Linked DNA regions of Lonchura striata. The protein of the gene in region 1 purifies or fractionates together with the protein of each later gene. This does not show direct contact. Links are inferred from orthologs where the notes say so. Each region holds a gene or a part of one and is shown in the gene's direction. Other genes may lie near its edges.

Region 1 (9,917 bases):
CAGTGATCCAAGAGCAGACTCCCAGAGGGCATTTTCTAGGTGTAAGCCCTATGGGTGTGTGTAGGAGTGCTCAAGGAAGCAGCAGAGAACATGATGTTACTTTGCAAGTCTGTTGAGCAGAAGACATCAGCTATTACTCGGATCTGCTCATTTTCGTATCTAACAGGCAAAGTAGGAGCAGGGTGAGATAATGGAGCCTTCCCTTAATGAAAGGAAAACTGGCACAGACAGGACACCCTGTACATGTATCATACATTTATTTGTTAGAGAGAAATGCTTGGGGACTGTGGATGAGGGAAAGGATATGTTCCCATAGTTAAAACAGGATTTCTGAGCCATTGCAGTTTTGGGCATTCTCCCCTATTGAGTCAGGACTAATGCAGGGATAAGAAAACACCAGGAGTCTCCCTTTTATCTCACACATTTCGCTTTCCTTGTGTGGCAGTTCCTGAGAGGAGGGGAAACACGACATTGGTGCCATCCCAGGCTGCCAGACAAGAGCCTGTGCACGGGATGGAGTTCCAGCAGGCTTTTCCCAAGCCCTGGAGTGTGAGAGTGTCTGTGACACAGCCTGGCAGAGAGCAGAGGAGCAGTGGGACAGGCTTGGAGTAAGGGACAGCAGAACTGCAGGACCTCACAGTCTAACAGAAACTTTGTTTGCACCTCTGCTGCAAATCATAATCACAGTTTGGTTAAACAACATATTCTGACTCCAGCCCTTATCTCACAGTGTTTGCCACCTGAGTGTAAATTGAGTGAAGGACAGAGGCAGCTTGACTGTTGTGATTGAAAGCCTGGGACCCAGAAAATCACTTAAACTTGAACAGAGATGCCTTCCCAACTTGCCTTAGGATTTTCTATTTCAGCTGAAATAGAAAAATGTGTAAAAATTGCCAACTGAAACTTCACCTGTACATTTCTACCTTCTGAGAGAAGTTTGAAATGTAACCCAAGTGAGTGTTGAAGATTTCAGAACCAGAAGGCAGAGAAAAGGTAAAGCTGCTGATTTAAAAAGTTTAAAATAATGCATGAAGGTAAACCTTTAGGCCTGCAATTCTGAGAGCTTGTATAAAGTATTAGCTTGCTTTTGGTCTTTATTTTCAAATGACAGGGTAATGCTGACACAGGTCTAACGAAGCTGGTGGAGCTGCATGCTGGGCAGGCCAAATTCCTGATTTCTGTGGTGTCTCCAAGGTACAAACAGCTGCAGAGCAAAGTCTTGCTGCCCAGACAGCTGCAGCCCCAGTGCTGAGGCTCTGGAGTTTCAGAGGCTGTGGTTGTGTAAGCTGTGATTCAGCAGAACCCTGCAACTACGGGCACATTCAAATGAAGGAGTGGAATTCATTATAAAACAAAGGCATTGCATATGAACTGATAAGAGATTAAAGCAATGCTTTTCATGTTCACAGGAGGTGCTACATTTTGTTTAGGAAGAACTGAGTTGTGTTTTCAACAGCTATTAAATATATGAAGTACTTGCTTTAACATGAAGACTCTTGTTAATGTAATATCAGCTGGCAGGAAGAATGGGGGAGGAGCCCCCCTGCTGGGCTTTTTCTGAGGGAAAAAAAAACCAATAATTTGAGCTCTCCAAAGTGTTTAAAAACAATTACATAACTTTGTTTTTTGTTGTCGTTCAAATTATTAATTTATATTTCACTACAGCTTCCAAAACCATGTTATATTTTATTTTTAACAGTAGTTGATTGTAATATTCATCTTACTTAGAAACCAATCTTAATTCATTTTGTACTTCATACTTGTGGCTAATTCCTTGTTAATTAGCTTTCATTTATCTTAATAATGGGATGTGTAAATACTTACAAAGACTTTATGTCCTCATTTCCCCTTCCTCTCCTGTGTTTTAGTTATTTCCAATGGTATAATGGATAGAGCTCACCAGCATTTTGCTTACAGGGGAAACTGGAAACTGCTCAGTGTGTGTGTGTGTGCGCACAGCACAAGCATGTCTGTAAAAAATGTCCCTTTTCTCTGTCACTGAATTGCTTGTGGACTTTTCTTTGACAAGTGCACTGATTGTTACAGCTCCCAAGGAGGCTGAGCAGTGCATTTCTGAGTTGAGGATGATCCCTTGGCTTACAGTACAAATAAATGAAATTTTAAGCAAGCTCTATAATTTGCTAGTTTTCTTTTAAATGCAAGATTTTGTGCTGGTCTGGTTGGGGTAGAGTTTTGTAGGTGTGATGTTTTAGTGTGTGTATACTGGGTTTGACAGCAGGGAACACAGATAAATGTTGCTCTTTTACAGTTTTACTGTAGTGAGAGAGTCTGATATTGGATATAAAGAGACAAATGCATTTAACTTTCCCCAAAGTGCTCGTGTGTCATGCTGCAGCTCCAGCTGTGTTACAGCGAGCATAGATCAGATCAGCATACTTCTCTCAGAGGAAACTGGAGTTTTATCTTTTACTCTTTACTGTTTCTCCATAATGTTTCACTCCTTGGAGGTAATTTAGTATCATTTCCCTTCCCTTCTTGTATGCATTTTTTTGACGTTCTTGTATGGTCACTGCTGTGCTGCCCTTGCTTGTGACACCCCTGTGTGACAGAAGCTCCTGGGCTGTCTGTTCCCAAATCCTGCTGCTGACACTGGTCCCAGCTGGGTGCTGTGTTGGGCTCAGCTCTCTGAAATCAAGAATGGATGGGCAGAGGTGGGCCAGCTGTAAAACACCAGCCTTGTGTGGGTTCTGGGAAGGCTCTGGGTGTGTGGGGAGTGTTACACACTCACAGTCACACTGCTCAGATCCAGGCTTTTTCACTTGGCAAAGTTGGCTCCAGCCAGTATTGCTGTGGGGAGAAGAGAGATTTCCCAAGCTGGGAATAAAGTACAACTAACTGAAAGAAATAAATCTTGACACTTTCTCAACTGTCAGAGAATCCTTTTCTCCTCTCCATCAGGTACAATAAAATGTGATGGTGGTAAATAAAGAGTGAGCACCCTCCAGAGGTGAGATGGGATGGGGCAGTCACCAGGATAGTCCCTTCAGGGAAACATTCCCCACTGCTCTTGGGACAAGTGCTGGGATCAGCCTGCACCTCCCGCTGGCACGAGATAAGGAATTGTTATCTGAGCTTCAAAAGAAAGAGTGATGTTTGGAAGTTTTGCTTTCATTCTGGATCAGAATAAAAACCAAACTGTCAACACTTCCTTTGAAATGAAAATGGAGACAAAACACCAAATTGAGAATCAGCATGGAAGAAGAACAAAGCACTTTGTTAATGTTTTGTTTTGAGGTGAAATATTTTGGTTTGACTTTCACATTTCTGTAAACGTACCTTAATTGTTGCTGTTACTTTGTGAAAACTGCACTATAGCCCAAAAGTGTAGTAATTTCAGTATTAATTTGTATTAATTCTTTCAGTATTAATTGGTAATTAATACTGAAATAATGGCACAGAAATGACATGGCTCTTTATTTTAAAGACCTGTTCTTGTAGAAGCATCTCTTCCGAATCCCCCTGAAAATGTTAATTCCCTCTTGTGAGGGTTAGAACTGTGCACAACAGGTTCACACCTTCTTGGGGTTCACACCTTCAGGGAAAGATCTCCTTCCCATTCTGCTCAGCACTTCCAAAGGGCACCGTGGTTCCTCACACCTGAGGCTCCAGGTGCGAAAACAAGGCTGGTTTTAGTCTGACTGATCCCAAAGTTTGTGGCGTGATGTCAGGAATCTCCTGTCCCAGGGATATCCTGGGAGGAGGGGGTGAAATACAGCTTGGAAAGAAAACTTGGCCAGCCAGTTTGCCACAGGCTCTTGGATTAATAGGAGACAATCCCTGGGGTCCTGCTGGGACCAGTGGCTGAGCCAGGTAAAGCCTGGAATGTTTGTCACATCTGACTATTCCTTGGGTATTTGTGTCTCCTCTGGGTAATCTTTCAAAGAAACAACTCCCACAAATACCATTTTTCTCTTTTCAGCCTCTTTTTTTAAAGCACTCTGTGTGAGCTGTTCTCATCTTTTGATACTCCCAAGTCTTCTGATTTTTTAAAAGCACAATAAAGATGTTTAGTCATTGTCTCAGAGGAGAAACATAATTTGTCTCGAGGTGGCTGTGATATACTTTAAAGAAAAAAACCCAAAACTTTCCTTCTCTGGATGTTTCAGAGATCCATGATTTTTAGTGTCAAGTTATTGTACCATACTCATGTTCTGCAGCTATAAATTTAAACAAACCAAACAAAACCTCTATGCTCCCTTTGATGTGTATTGATGTACAATATTTTCTGAAGACCTAAGTGGGTCTTGAAATATAATATTGTTGTCATTTTCTTATTGTTCTCAGTGGATTCTGCTGCATCTCCCTTGCTTGAATGCTGAATTGAATTGCTACAGATTGTTTCAAAGCACAGCAATCAATTTTGGTTCAAACTGGGTGGAAATACCTTACAAATTGCTGTCACACTTCAGTGAAGGGAAACTGCTTTAAGTCAAGTCGGGTCAGGGATCTCTAGATACCTAATCTAAGCTTCATTACTCAGAGCAGAAGTAGCTGCTGGTCTTACACCACAAATAATTTTAATTATTGATTCATGCCCAAGGGTTGAACAGCCTATAACTCTCAAAAAGTATGTTTTTAAATCTGAAGCATAAATCTTAATGAGGCTTAGTGTAAATTCAGTGGAAGAAACAAACAAAAAAACCAAAAAAAACAACCTGGATTGTAAAACAGCTTCTCATTGTCTTTACCTAGATGTTTAAACCACCACATCTTCCCCAACAAGGTTATTATTCTTATTCTTGGGTCTCAGTGAATACTCCACAAACAGGCTGGGAACTGACACAAAATGAAATCATCCTCTTTGTGTACATTTTTATTACAAGGTGTGTCAAATACCTTACAAGGAGTAATTATAATTTGTTTCATTAATGAAGAAGCTCAGGTGTGATTGCCTCACCCGTTTGCCTGAGATCACACAACAAACCGATGATGAAACTACCTACAAGCTTTTTGTGTCCTAGGATTACTTTTAAATGTTTCAGCTTTGAAAATGGAAGGAAAATGTCATTTGCTGTGAGCTGAACTCTTTCCTAGGTAGTAGAGGGGTTGGGATAGAACCTTTTATCTGCTCTTTGCCAGAAGGAGTGACAGCTCTTTCCTCTGCCAGGGCTTTGCATCCTCAGAGCCAAGAGCTGGCACAGGATGGGCGAGGGGATCATCCATCCCCAGGAGCACAGGGAATATGTGGGAAGGAGGAGAGTGAGCGGAGACCTCACTGGGATGTGCAACATCCTCGTGTTTGGGAGCAGAGGGGACCGGTCCCCATCTCTTTCTTCACTCTCGTGACCAGTGACAAGACTCGAGGGAATGGCATGAAGCTGTCGGGGAGGTTTGGGTGGGATATTAAGAAAAGATTCGTGTCCCAAGACTGTGGTGGGGCACTGCCCAGGCTCCCCAGGGCATGGTCCCAGCCCCAAGGCTTCCAGAGCTCCAGGAGCGCTTGGACAATGCTCAGGGTGGGATTGTTGGGGTGTGTGCGCGGCCAGGAGCTGCACTGCATGGTGGACCCGTTCCAACTGGGGATCTTCTGTGATCTCCTTGAGGTTAAAAAGGCACGTCCTTGCACAAACAGGGACTTGGGGAGGGCAGGAGGAGCGCGGTCACCCTCAGTCAGAAAGCGAGGAGGAAAGCACGAGAGCTCTCTGAGGGGCCGGCGCGTGAAGGGGAAACGGCTCCGCGTGGCCTGCCGCGAGGATCCGCAGGGCAGGGCCGGCATGAGGAGGACGATCACCCGCGGCCGGCAAGCCAGCCGCGAGCCGCCCTCAGCCCGCCCGAGCCCTTCCCGCCGCTTTTCCCGCCGCCGTTCCCGCCGCTCCCTCACGGCCGCCGGCCCCGCCCATTGGCCCCGCCCCGCCCACGCGCCCCGCCCATTGGCTCCGCCCCGAGGCTCCGCCCATTGTCTCCGCCCATTGGCTCCGCCCCCGGCGGGCGGGGCCGCGGGGCCGCGCACGGGCACGGCGCGGGCGCCATGTTGGAGCGTCGCTGAGCGCGGGGTGCTGCTGAGAGCGCGACCCGGTCTGCGCGGGACTGGGGCGGGGGAGCCGCGCCGAGCCGCGGGGGAATCGCCCGGGCGGACCATGGACGTCGAGAGGCTGCAGGAGGCGCTGAAAGGTGGCGGCCAGGCTGGTGGCGGGGGCTGGGGGAGCGGTGTCGCCGCGCTGAGGGGAAGGCTGAGGTTCCTCAGAGCCTGTGGGGGGAGCGCCCCTCGCTGAGGGCGAAGGGTCCCCGCGCTGTGGGGAGGGAGCTGCTCGCTGTGAGGGGTCCCGCAGAGTGGGGAGAGGCCAGGAGTCGTGGGGAAGTGGAGGGCAGAGCCCGCGGTCTCCCTGCCCAGCGACCCTCGGGGCTGCGTGAGGGGGATCAGCGACTCTCGGCTCTGCCCGGCTGCCGCCCTGGACACCCCGGTCCGGCCGCCCCTTCTCCCTCATTCCTGCCCCTTCCCCCGCATCCCGGCCCCTTCCCCCGCATCCCGGCCCAGCCCGGACCTGTCCCCTTCTCCCTCCGCAGCCCTCTCTCTTCTGGGCTCAGCTTGAGCAAATCGCTCTCTTTCTGTGCCGTAGCTGCTCGGAAGAAGTTGCAAATCAACTTTTGCTACTCTGCTGCGTGCGGTTTCTCCGCAGGAAAAATAATAAGTGTTTCCCAGGGCTGAGGAGCTGGTGGAGTTCATGGGAACAGCCGGGGCATTGTGAGAGCACAACAGTGTTTTTGTGGGAGCTGTACTGATAGTTCAAGCAAATCGCTAATTATTGTGAATTTTTGTTCTGTCCCATCTTCATTTACCATTCTTTTTGTGTCGTTCTCATGCCAACAGATTTTGAGAAGAGAGGAAAGAAGGAAGTGTGTCCAATACTGGATCAGTTTCTTTGTCATGTTGCTAAGACTGGAGAGACGATGTAAGTGTGACTGTTTTGGTGGTCCTCAGTCGTGACTTAAAACAATTCTTGCATTTTACGTCATTGAGATTCTACCAGGATTCTTTTTTTTGCCTGTAGGTTGCTTCAGTGGGCTAAATAAGCTTTCCTCAGTTCCCATTTAATTTTGTATTGATTAATTTAGTTTGCTGATAGTTTGATCTAACGAGGGGAGACTTCTCGTATAGGCTTTGCTCTGATGTGCCTGTCAGGTCTTACTGATCCTACTCAGCACAATAAAAAACCTGTTGCTTTCCCTGGATTTTTGAGAGAGATTCAGGTTTTGTATGTTACAAGTTAAGCTGCTGTTGCAATGTTTTCTATACACTGTTGTATAACTGTGTTTGCAGTATCTACATTGTGTTATTTACATAAAGATTGCAGTCGCTCACATTGTTTCTTTCTGGGCTCTGTAACCATCCTGTGACTGTCTGGGCGCTGCTGCTGAAGCGGGGACGATCCGGAGGCGCTTTTGCGGACGGGGATGTGTGGGAACCGCGGGGAGCGCCGTGTTTTTCCCTGGTGCGGAGGGAATTTCCCTCGTGCCGCCCTTTGCGGCCGCTTTCCCGGAGCTTTCCCGGGAGGCAGCGGAGGGAGCCGCGCTCCTTGCGGGGCTCGCTGCTGGTGACTTCCTTGCGGCTCACTATCTGGCAGGAAGGGGAAAGGCTTCCCGGCTGCGCTGCCGGATTCGTGCTCACTTTCTGGCGCCCGGGCTGTCTCCTTGTTTTTGAGGCCTAGTGCCAGACTACGGCTCCAGCAGGGAGATATGCTTTTACGAGTGTTTTGTGATCAACCACCGACCCGCAGGGGCTTTGTTTGAGTTTCGAGAGTCCCGCCAACTTATTAGAGGTTCTGGTGATTTTTTTTTTTTTGGTAGCTTGCTAGTGCTGCTTGGATTAATGGTTTAGAAAGAAAAACAAGTTCTGAAATGTACTTTGCTCTTTGAATAGAAGGCTCATGCTCAGCAGACATACACAGCTGTAATGCTTCATGTTTTGGTGTAGTACTTATTATACAGAAAAAATACACCACAGTAAGCCCATACTAAAATATGTTTAAAATATTTTTTCCCATTCTGAGGTATTTCTTCAGGTTGTTTTTACTGTTTCTGCCATTATCATGTATATTCCAAAGTATTTTTTAAAAAGTGATTCTATAGGGCCAAATTATTGGGAAAATTGTATCCTTTCTGATTTTATTTTCATTTAGGAAATCTAGGTTTATTTTTATTATTTTTATTTTATTTTTACAAACTTAAACCTCAGCTGGAGTCTGTAATCTGATATACAGATCCTGCCTTCTGTGTTTCCAGGGTTTTCTTGCAATTTTTTTTTTTTATATAGTTTTTTTAAAAGGTGTTGGATGTGAACATCAGAAATGCCTAATATAATCTGGAGATAGGCATGGAAATACTGTTTTATAATACTGTATTTGCTTCAGATTATCTGCCAGAGTCAGTATTTGGTCATCAGACATGTGTTCATCAGACTGATGTGTTATGTATCACAATATCAGGGGGAAAAGTGAGTAAAAATTAAAATCTCCTGGAAATCACTCATATGAAGATTACTAACGTGCCTTTTAAGAGCTTAATGTATTTTTAAGCTGGTACAGCTTGACAAGTACAAGTGTTCTGGAATAGGCAAACCTACCAAATACATGCAAATTTAAAATGCACTAGATAATCTTTATTTTGACTTATGTAAAAACAACTTTGTTGAATAGAATCTAAGCCAGTAATAAATAGATACTTTGGAGTGAGAAAATAAAATACTCGTTTGTAGTGACATTTGTTAGGATTTTTACAAAGTCAGAGTATAGTTAAAAAAAACAAAACAAGCAGGGATGATGGTTTAGTCAGGGGTAATTACACCCATGGTTTGCAGACTTGATTATTGAACAATGATCTTACTCAGTCACAGCCTGTTCCTAATGTAACAAACAAAAAGTACTGAGGCAAATCAGGACAAGTGAAATGTGAAATATTTTTGTGTTCAGTTGTTAGTTCTAGGAGAGTTACATGGTCTTCATAGGAGTTCTGTCAGCTTTTTAATTTCATCACAAATGCTGATTTTTAGAAGATAAACTGCAGTCTCTATCCTGGGGTGAATGCTCTCATCCTCCATACGTTTCCAGACGCAGTTGCAGCAGATTTTGGTGACTCAGTAAAATTAGTTTGAAAAGGTAGTAATGAAGTAAATTAAAGTGACATTTTAGGTTCTCCTCAAAGCTTGATCACTCAGCTCACCCAACAGATGGAAAGCACAGGCTCAGGTGAGATCGTTGGGTGCCTCCCTGCCCCCACTTGTTGCAAAGTGCTTATTCATCTGAGGGAGCTGGGAACAGGTAGGTGCAGGTTTAGGTGAGGCTCTGATCTTCCTGGGATTTCTCTGGCAGAAGCCTTGGCTGGTGCTGCCCGTGGGTCACTGTTTCACTTGGGCTGTCGAGCTGCTTCTGCAACTCCACAGGAACCTGGGGCAGGAGCTTCTCACAGTCCTGACTCCTTAGGACGAGGTTGGGTTCACTGATCCACGTGTTCTGTCCCGGTGACTGGTACTGCCAAGCTGGAGAAGTGGTGAAGGGCAGGAACGGAGGGTGAGGTGCTAAAGCCACCAGTGCAGCCATGACAAGGCTCCTAGTATCTTTATTATAATTAGAGGTCTTTTTCACTTACAAGGGAGGTGTGGAACAAAAACATTGCTAATTTTGGTTCTATTATCACTGTAAGCTTAGATGTGTTATCACTACTGTGCAGTAAAATTCTGATCATACAATGATGTACATTCACTTCATCTTTTTGAAGTTGAAGTTTTCCTCTTGTGCAAAGTTAACCATTCACTTAATTGCTGTTGAGATTATAGCCTACATCTACAGAAGCCAGTCTAAACTTCCTTTATTAGAGGTGACAGAAGCAAAAGTCTTATTGCTTGGCTACTATGAAATATTTTTGTTTCTTAACAGTTGCCAAGGTAAGACTTAGCCTTAGGT
Region 2 (9,858 bases), on another chromosome or scaffold:
CTTTATTAACCTCATCGCTATGTCTTCTCTGCCTAAGGAAGTTTTACTATAGTAGGAGAATGATATTAACTATAAAAAAAGAGAAAAATTCTCCTTTCAAATGTAACCTGACTGATAAAAGACTGCTGAAAATTCCAGAAACATCCAACTCTCTTTACAGAGCCCTGAAACATGCCAAACACAGGCAGACAGGAAGCCTTGCTCTTGGTGGTATTAAAGAAGTGTCTTTTGCAGCCACATCTCACCTGTGATCCTGTTAGAAATGCTGAAGAGCCTCGATGTCCTGTGCTGCTGAACAAAGGACTTGCGGTAATACCGATCCCCAAAGCACATTCCCAGGAGCTCCTTGCGCACTGTCTTGTTCCACAGCCCATAAATTAGCGGATGGCAAATGGCACTGGAAAAGGACAGCCATGTAGCCAATGTCTCCAAAGCAGGGGAAATACTGTTTTTACCCCAAAGTGCCTCTGATGTTATTACTACCATGTAAGGTCCCCACGTAACAACGAAAGCCCCGATGACAACCAAGATGGTTATGAAAGCTTTGCACTGGTTGGCTGAGTAAACAACCCCTTGGAAAGTGTTCCTTCGGCTGCCAGAGGAGGACGTGGAGGTGCTGGAGTTCTTCCTCCCATTCTTCTGCGAGTCCTCCTCTGCAATGACAACACTCCCACAGTGTATTTTGCGGGCCTTAATCCTGGCCACACGGAATATGAATCCGTAGCAGATCATCATGACTATGAATGGCAGCAGCGCGCACCAGATCTGCCAAAAGGCCGTGTAGGCAGCCTCCTTGTGCCAGGCTGCCACACACATCCACTTGAATTGGTCAAATTCCAAAGAGGACCAGCCAAAAAGGGGAGGGAGGCAGCCAATAAGGGAATGCAGCCACACGTACACAAGAGCTACCACTGCTCTGTTGCCCGTTATCTTCATCGGATAAACCATCGGGTACAGCACAGCATAGTACCTGTGGGGCAAGAAAAGAAGTAGACCACAGGAGCATAAAAGACATGCAATAAAGAAAAGAACATGCTTTAATGATGCTGGTATCTAGTTCTTTTTTCTTCGAACAGGCTTAGAAGCCCTGTTTCTAGAAATAGTTACATATAAAAGTAGGTATCACTGCAGTCAAGACTGTCAAACTTGGCTGAAGGGACACAGGCAACCATGAAATCTGTACCTATGTGTGATTGTATGTTTAGGGTATAATCTGGAATTTTAAGTCACTATTTCATGTTTGTTAAATAGTGTGTTATTATACCATCAAAAGCTTTAAAAAACTCTAGACGAATGTCTGCATTTTCCAGTATTGATGAAATCACGTTCTCTTGCTCCACATTAAAATTTCATGAGGAGCTGAAGTAAAAATGACACTCTGGCAGTACACCATGTAACCCTCTGCAGTGCTTCTCAACTCTGTGAACAAGCCATGGTTCCTCTATGAGAGGAGCAGGCAATTTGTTACAATGCATTACTGAAGAGCAGCTTACCGGTCTATAGCTATGAGTCCCAGAGTGAGCATGCTGGCTGAGCTGATCAGCATGTAGAGCAGGGCTGAGAAATTGCACCAAACAACGCCAAAGATCCATTCTCGCCTGATGGAGCTGGTCACGACAAAAGGCAGCACCAGCACGGAGAGTAGAAAGTTGGAGAGGGTCAGGCTGAACACAAACTTGTTGCTCAAGGTGAGAAGGTATGACTTGCGATACAGAGTGACAACAATCACCAGGTTGCCCAAACAGATGAAGATGGCAATGACAATTATAGCAATGGATTCAGTGACTCTGACTGCCCCGTCTTCCTCCGTGGTCAGGTTCCTCAGGCCCTTCCCATTGCTGAGGGAGGAATTGCTGCTCATGGTCAGAGCATGCAGACCTGGAGCAGCCAAGACATGCTGAGCAGCTAGAAGCAGAACAACGCTCAGAAACATTCAGGTAATAGCTCTTCAAACTCCTTCCCAAGACTGGAGGCCCTTTTGCCTGTGTTAAAATTTACCTGTAGTATGCAGGAAATTGCATATTTTATATGGGCAAGTGAAGGGGCAGTAAATTGCCTGTGAGCACACCAAAGAGGACAACACCAAGCCTGGAACAGGGAAGACAAGAAGAGATAAGGGGGGAAAATAAGAAAGAAAATACAGATTTTCTACAGATTTTCTACAGACCTTACTTGTTTCTAAGTCCTACTTACTAGCCCTTTCATCTAGGCTGTGAAAAAACAAGAATGTAATTTATTTCTTCAAGAAACAAGATAAATATCAAATATCTTTTTTTCTCTTACTTTAAAGAAAGTTCTTAGAAAATTCTGCCTATCCTGATAGTTACTTTGTATTCTGCCTATACAGCATTTGCTAGTGGTCTATGGATGCCTGGCTAGTCATACCCTGCTGACTCTTAACAGTTGCTAAGTAACATTCAAAGACTCAGGGACCACTGCATGTACTCTCCTTACATCTATTATGTGTGTTCACAATCAACTTAGCTATGCTGCTGATTGTATTTTACTGCCAACACCAAAGGATTGGAGGAATTGGCTTTCTGTACATGAGGTCTGAAAGACACTTCCTTGCATTAAGATAAGGTCCATGCTATAGAAATGCTTTAGAACCTTTAAACCTTGACTTCTCAGTGTTAGCATCCATCCCATTGATTCACAGCCTCATTTTATGAAACCTTGTTATTTCTTCCAATTCCTTAGCAATTCCTCTTTTCCCTGCTGCCTCTAAATGGTACTCACTAACTACTTTGTTCAGTGCTTCACCCATCTGCAGGACGGCATAAGAACTAAGAAAGAAACAAAAAATTCAAATACACAGACCAAAAAAAGTAAAAGAGTCCACCAATGAATATAAAGTTGATTTTAGCATTTCTAGGAAGTAAGGGCCTCAGGAAAGTTATCTTAGCTAATTCTGCAACTGTGCCAAACATGGGTCCCAGACAGTACTCACAGAAATGCTTCCATCTGCATGGCTGCTGTGGAATTACGCAGGGCTGTCAGTGTGGAAAGACGCCTTTTTTCCATTTTTATCTGTACTTTCCTAGGAACATAACACATTACTTGGCCATGCACTGAAAAAATGTAATATAGCTGTTCCCTAGCCTCTGACTGAGGATGTGTGCAAAAAACACTTCCCCTTGAGTTTCTTTCTGTCTCAGCATGCCTGTACCACCTCTGTGTGCCCTTCCAACACTTTTTGGCCGGAGCGGGTTTTGGAAAGGCGGCTTCCCCCGCAGCCGCTCCCTGCGATAGCGATAGCCGGGGCACCTGGCGCTTCCCCTCACGGCCCTGCTGCACCCTGAGGGGGAAAGCGACCTCTGGCCCCTCCCGGGCCAGGGCTGCCCGTGGCGGGGATAGCATCCGCATCCTATCCCGGCCGCGGGCAGCGCAGTCAGGCTTCCCGCACACCCACGAAGCGGGTGGGACTGAGTTGTAAATACGGTGGGGAAGGGGGGTTTCGCCATTTTGCACAAGCGCTCCCTCCGGCAGCGAACAAAGGGCTGGAATAGGTCGTCCGCCCCGGGCATCCATCGCCTCCCCCTCACCCGCCGGCGGAGAGCGGGTCCCGCCGCCTCTGTCTCCTCCCCGGCTCCGCACTCACCGTCCGCCGCCGCCAAAGCGGGACGTTCCTGGCTGAAGCACCCAGGACCCCCGACACCGAGCGTCCCCCGCCATGGGCACGGCCCCGGCCCGTGCCTGCCCCTCCCGCCGTCCCGCCCCGCCGCCTCAGCCCGCCGCGCCCCCTCCCCGCCCGCCATGTTCCCCCTGCCGCCCTGGGTCGGTCCGCGCGTCCCGGGAACTCGGTTAAAAGGCAGGGGGAAAGTACTTCACACGGATGAGGTAAAGTCATTTGCCCCGATTTGTAGTGCCATGCAGCTTTAGAGTCTAAGTGGTATACTTCCGAGACCCCAAAACACTATTAAAAGTAACAAAAAGAAGATTTGGGGAAGAGTTGTTCCCGCACGCACCTCTGAAGCAAGATATCGGATATAGGTTCAGTATACAGGGCACAATATAAAGGGTGAACAAAAATTAAATACCGTGCTTGTGTCTTCCTAGTTCCTGCCTTTCCTGGCAATGCCCTTGAGTGCAGAGGGTGACTGCCCTGATGTGAGCTGTGCTGGGTTTTGATTGCTCTGTGGAGTTTTTAATGTTGTGGACATCAGTTTCCTATGGCTGTTGCCTCAGTTCACTCCAATGCTCCAACAGCAGGAGCTGGACGGTGTGTCTTGCTCCTGTGCCAGGGGAAGGCTATAGGGAGTTAGTCTGCCCTTTCAATGATGCAGAAAAGCAAGACAACCACCCACCCATCAGTGCTGGAATATTAAGGTGATCTATAATTTTCAACCAGTTCTACTGATACTTTTCTACAGGACTTTTTTAAACTTACCACATCATTGCACTTCGACATTTTAAAAAGACCATCTTTGGACAGCATTCAAAAATGTATCAATCCAGCACAAGAGATTTCACAACCAGCAAAAACTGATGCACAGTTGTGCCTGAATGTGAGGAAGAACTTATTTCCTGTGCAAGTGACTGTGCACTTGTTGCCTAGAGAGGTTGTGGAGTCTCCCTCACTGAAGATACTCCAGACCTGTCTAGGCACAATAACATGCCATGTGCTCTGGGATCACCCTGCTTGAACAGGGAAGTTGAACCACATGATCCACTGTGCCCCATTCTAACCTTGCTCAGATGTGATTCTGTGTGCACACATATGTGTGTACTAACACAGCACAGGGCACCTGTGTGATGGAGCCACGTAATGCTTGCTGCAACTGTAAGTGTGGCCATGGAGATGGCCCAGGGCCACCAGAGGCTCCAGAGCTCCCCAAAACTGCTTGTACCCAGCCGTCCCACTCCTCTCAGCAAAGTACCCATGGGGAAGTGGCTGGAGGCACAAGCACTTGTAAGGCACACAAAATTCTCAGCTGGCTTCTGCAGTCCAGCTTCACTGGAACAGAGGCTTGGGTGAGTTTGCTGGCTCTTCATCCTGAGCAGGGGAGATTAAAGAGCCTACTCTCGCTACGGAAGCTCCAGCAGCACAGAGAAGTGTGGACCCCCTTTCTCACCCACCTGCCCCTCACATCACCTCCCAGAGTCACAGCCTGGGTAGGTTGGAAAGGGACACAACGGGTCATCTGATCTGACCACCCTGCTCAAGCAGGGTCATCTCAGAGCTCATGGCACAGGGTTGTGTCTCGATAGGTCTGGAATATCGCCAGTGGTGGAGGCATCACAACCTCTCTGGACAACCAGTTCCAGTGCTCGGTCACCTGCACAGTAAAGAATTTCTTCCTCATGCTCAGCTGGAATTTCTGTGCATCAGTTTCTGCCTGTTGCCTCTTGTCCCACCACGGAGAAGAGTCTGGATCCATACTCTTGGAATCCCCTCTTTAGATATGTGTACACATTGATGAGTGCCTCTCTCGGCCAGCGATTCTCGAGGCTGAACAGGCCCAGCTTCCTCAGCCCTTCCACCTAACGGAGATCAGTCGCTTTATCATTTTCGCTGCCCTCCGCTGGACCCCCTCCAGAAGCTCCATGTCTCTCCTGTCCTGGAGAGAAAATGCAGATGTGGGCTCACTAGAGCTGAGCAGAAGGGCAGGATTCTCTACGTCGCCCTGCTGGCAGCGCTCTTCCCGATGCCTCCCAGGATTCCTCCACAACCGCCGCCGGGGCTCCGCGCCGCGCGGCCCTGGAAGCGGAAATGCTGCGGGGCGGCGGTTCCGGGGCCGCGACGCTGCCGTGAGTGCCGTGCGGGAGGAGACGGGAGGAGAGGGGCTCCTCCGCTCCGCCTCTCCGCCCCTGCCGCCTGCTGCCTTCTGCTCGGCGGAGAGGAGGCCGCCATGCACCCCGTTTTCCAGAGCAGCCGGCGCGACTTCACCTTCGGGCCGTGGAAGCTGAGCGCCGCCCGAACGCACATCATGAAGTCGGCGCAGGCCGAGAGGTGAGGCGGGCTCCGGGCCGGGGACGCAGGGGGACACAGCACAGCACGGTGTCCCCGCTGCTCGGGGAGCCCCCGCTGCTCGGGGCTGCGGCCTCGGCCGTCACAGCGAGGGGCTGGGGTTGTCGGGTGGCCTTGCAAAGGAAACACCGAGCGTTCCCAGGGCGGGGGAGACCCTGTTCGGCCCCCGGGGTTGTTCCTTCTCTTCAAGCTTGATTCTCTGGCTGGAGAATTTTGGGTTACAGGTGATTTCCAAAATTTTGTTTTAATGATTGGAGAAGTCAGCCTACAAGAAGACGAAGAGGGACGTTTTACAAGGGCAGGTAGTACGAGGACAAGGGAGAATGGATTCGAACTGAAAGAGAGGAGATTTAGATTGGACCCTAAGAAAGAAATTCCTGATTGTGATGGTGGTGAGTCACTGGAACAGAGTGCCCAGAGAAGTTGTAAATGCCCCATCCCTGGAGATGTTCCAGGCCAAGTTGGATGGACCTTTGGGCAGCGTGGTCCAGTGGAGGTGTCATTGCCCATTGCAGAGGGGTTGGAACTTGACCTTTAAGGTTTTTTTCCAACTCAAACAATTCTGATTGTATTATTATAATGGTTTTGGATCCAAATCTCTGTGAACTGAGACCCACTAATTAGAAGGCTAATTGTCTTAATTACTTTTGAAAAGGAATATTTTTAATGTCATATGTCTTGGTAATAGCTATTTTTAAATAGTGGTTTTCATTAAAAATTTATAATTTGCTCTCTTCCTGTAGGAATTTCCAATCCAGTGAAATAATTGGAGGAAATGTTCCTGTACCAGCATTAAGTACTTAAGTCAGATTTGCTAATGTGGAACTGGAGAGTTCAGCTGTGCCATAACTGACCTTAATGGCAGATGGATTTGGCAGATATTTCTTAGTTTCATTTTCTGGAATAAATTTCAGTGTACATGAGAATCTCATTAGTCTTGTTAAATGTACTTTCATTTATCTTGCTTTTACCTTTTCTGAGGCTAATAAGGCATTCTCTGGGAGGAACTGGCTGCTGATGGCTGGGATGTGTGCACTGTTTGCTGGGTAAAACATTGGATGGCTGAGCTCAAAGAGTGATGGTGAATGGGACTTACATCCTTCTGGTGACCCATCAACAATGGTGTTCCCCAGGGCTCAGGGGCCAGTCCTGTTCAATATCTTTATTGATAGTCTGGACAAGGTGATAGAGTGCACCCTCGGTAGGTTCACAGATGACCCCAAGCTGGGTGGAAGTGTTGATTTGCTGAAGGGTAGGAAGGCTCAACAGAAGGATCTGGGCAGGCTGAATCAATGAGCTGAGGCCAGCCACATTGTAGGAGGTGCAACAAGGTCACAGCGACCCATTTTGTCTATTTTATTGCTTGGAGGACATTATTAGTATCCATAGGAATTTTATTTCTGGCAAATAGATATTGTAAAAATTCCTCAGCAACCTGTGTGGAAAGGTGAAGGATTAAATGTGCCATAGCCAAGAACTCTCTTCTATGCAGGGGTTGGTTTTTGCAGGGAAAGGGTTCTTACACTTGATGAAATGGAAAGGTTTCATTGTCTTCTTTGGCAAAAATGTAGAATCTTAATTCTCCAGGTCTGTGAATTTACTGGTTTTATTTTAGTTAAGTTAATACTGTTCTTTTGTATTCAGGGTTACAGAAATAACCATTTTTGTTCAGGAATGCCTTGTTATCAATGTGAACATTATGATTAGGACACTCTTCTCCCTCCCCTCACTCAAATAAGTGTATTTCCTAAAGCTTTCTTCTCTCCAGATGTCATGTATTCCTTTTTGATTTTGGGAAGTCAGGTAGGTAAGGAGGAAAAGAAGTGTGAATTTCTAAAGAATTTTAGGAAGTGTGCCAGTACATGTCTTCTACCAGCAGAGCACAGTAGTGTCTTCTGCACTTTTTAGATACTCTGCCAAGGTTGTCATAAGCATCTTTTTTGTAGGGTTCTAAATTTGGAAGTATGGACCACTGTGCAGTGAATTCAATCTTCCTCATGATAAGTCCTTGTTCCTAAAAGTTGCTTTGAGCACCTACTGAAGTTGGTCCACTGCCCATCCAGGGGTTTGCTAGGACAGATGGAAAATTGCTTCTACATGCTTCTCACATACTCTTGATTCCTCATGTGTTAGAATTTTGTCTGAGCCTGATGGTGTAGGAATGTTTTAGGAGTACTTCTTTTGGTGAAAAAGTCACTTCAGATCAATGACTCTGCATTTCAGGTGAAATTATTAACCTGGTGATGTATCTTCTAAGTTATCATGGTCTAAAGAATCCTTCTTCCAAAACAAGAACTGCTTTAATTGAGCTGTGGTCAGCTGACTGATACCTCTTTTATTTTTCTCTGCAGGTTGGCTGATGAATTACACATGCCTTCCCTGCCAGAGATGATGTTTGGAGACAATGTCTTAAGAATACAGCATGACCATGGCTTTGGAATTGAGTTCAATGCTACAGATGCTTTAAAATGTGTCAATAATTGTCAAGGTATGATCAAAGTCGCTTGTGCAGCGGAGTGGCAAGAGAGCAGGTACAGTAATTTTATCACCAGAGGGGAAGTACTGGTGTGTTATATATGAAACTGTTATACAGTAGTTAAAGGAACAAACTGAACTCTTGACCACATTGCATTTGGTTGTACCCTAGATACAGCATGTAATCACAGAAGTCACTTTTCTTTGCTGTGATCATCCTTTCTGTTAAATTGGGCCAGCTATATTTTTCAGCTGTGTCATATCTTTCTTAAAGTAAATGTCAAGTTTAATGACTTAATGCTGTTTCTGTTTATTCAAACTCATAGAGCCTTGAGCATTACAAGACTGTATTGTGTGGTGTTGCAAAGTGCTGTACGTGTTCAAAATCTTAGCCTTAGGAATAAAGCAGAACAGTCACCATGCATGAGAACTAATTATGATGCTTAGTATTTACCAAATTTGATTTAGTTGTAGAGCATCTGGAATAAAGCCCAGAAACAAAGCAAAGTTATCATGAAAACTAAGGCAAATTGCAATTTTAATGATTGCTGTGTGTTGTCAAGAGATCACTTTCTGCCTACTTAAAGAAATACTGATCTTGAAATACAAATTTCTCAGCAATGTTGCATGAGAATCTTTATTTTGAGTCATAGAATGGAGATAGATGGAGAATTCTGATAATTGTTTTCAAAGTTATTATGGAAACAGATGTGAAACCATGATTAAGTCTTGACGTGATTGCAGCTCAGACAATGCTGCTGTTTTTCTTTAGGAGCAGTGTGGGAATTCTAATGCACAGTCTTAAGTGAGGTTGTAATTTTTTGAGAAAAGCAATTACTACAAAGCTGTTTTCTCTTTCACTGTTGAGGAGTGAGGCTGAGCACAGTAAGGAAGTTGTCAGGCCATATGACTGGACTTACACAACGGATTACAAAGGAACTTTGCTGGGAGATACTGCAACATTAAAGGTAATAATTTCCTTCTTGTTAATTGCTGACTGCATCTTGCTTCAGTCAAGCTTTTTTTTTAAAAAGCTGTCATTTACCTTTCAGTAGGCTTCTGTAAAACCTTTTGTGCTTTGCAATTTCTGATTTCAAAGTGTAATTTGGGCTTCTTATGTCTTTCAGCTCATGATTTTATTGTAATCAAATCATGGCTTATTTTAATAACGAGGGTGGGTGGTGTCCTAAAGCATTTTAGGATTAAAGCACATCAGAGGCTTCAGCTCTTGCTGGGGTCCGCTCTGGAGCCCCTCACTGCTCATGTACAGCAGAACTATCAGCTGTGTCATTCTGTAGTGCCTTCGTGCTCTGCTGCTTGCATGTTTTATCTGCTTTCTGACCTGGCTGCATTCAATGACCTAATGTTTTTCTGCAACAGCAATTCGGTAACTCCTCCTATTTAAACTTGCA

The links. Proteins that work in one complex are often made in the same cells at the same time.
Region 2: the proteins of PPP4R2 (region 1) and TIPRL purify together in Homo sapiens (affinity purification with mass spectrometry; 5 studies listed by BioGRID and IntAct, counting the BioPlex papers as one, with this or other methods). This does not show direct contact. The link is inferred for Lonchura striata from reciprocal best matches to the Homo sapiens genes PPP4R2 and TIPRL.

Annotation. Positions count from the first base shown.
Region 1 is NC_134614.1:20,818,977-20,828,893, forward strand, and holds the start of PPP4R2 (serine/threonine-protein phosphatase 4 regulatory subunit 2), read left to right. Parts: upstream 1-5,954; 5' UTR 5,955-6,098; coding exon 6,099-6,132; intron 6,133-6,829; coding exon 6,830-6,911; intron 6,912-9,917. Other genes in the region: GXYLT2 (glucoside xylosyltransferase 2), read left to right, coding at 446-553. UniProt on the Homo sapiens protein: Regulatory subunit of serine/threonine-protein phosphatase 4 (PP4). May regulate the activity of PPP4C at centrosomal microtubule organizing centers.
Region 2 is NC_134604.1:23,234,647-23,244,504, forward strand, and holds the start of TIPRL (TIP41-like protein), read left to right. Parts: upstream 1-5,727; 5' UTR 5,728-5,852; coding exon 5,853-5,953; intron 5,954-8,322; coding exon 8,323-8,502; intron 8,503-9,314; coding exon 9,315-9,414; intron 9,415-9,858. Other genes in the region: GPR161 (G-protein coupled receptor 161), read right to left, coding at 246-970, 1,494-1,861. UniProt on the Homo sapiens protein: May be a allosteric regulator of serine/threonine-protein phosphatase 2A (PP2A). Isoform 1 inhibits catalytic activity of the PP2A(D) core complex in vitro. The PP2A(C):TIPRL complex does not show phosphatase activity.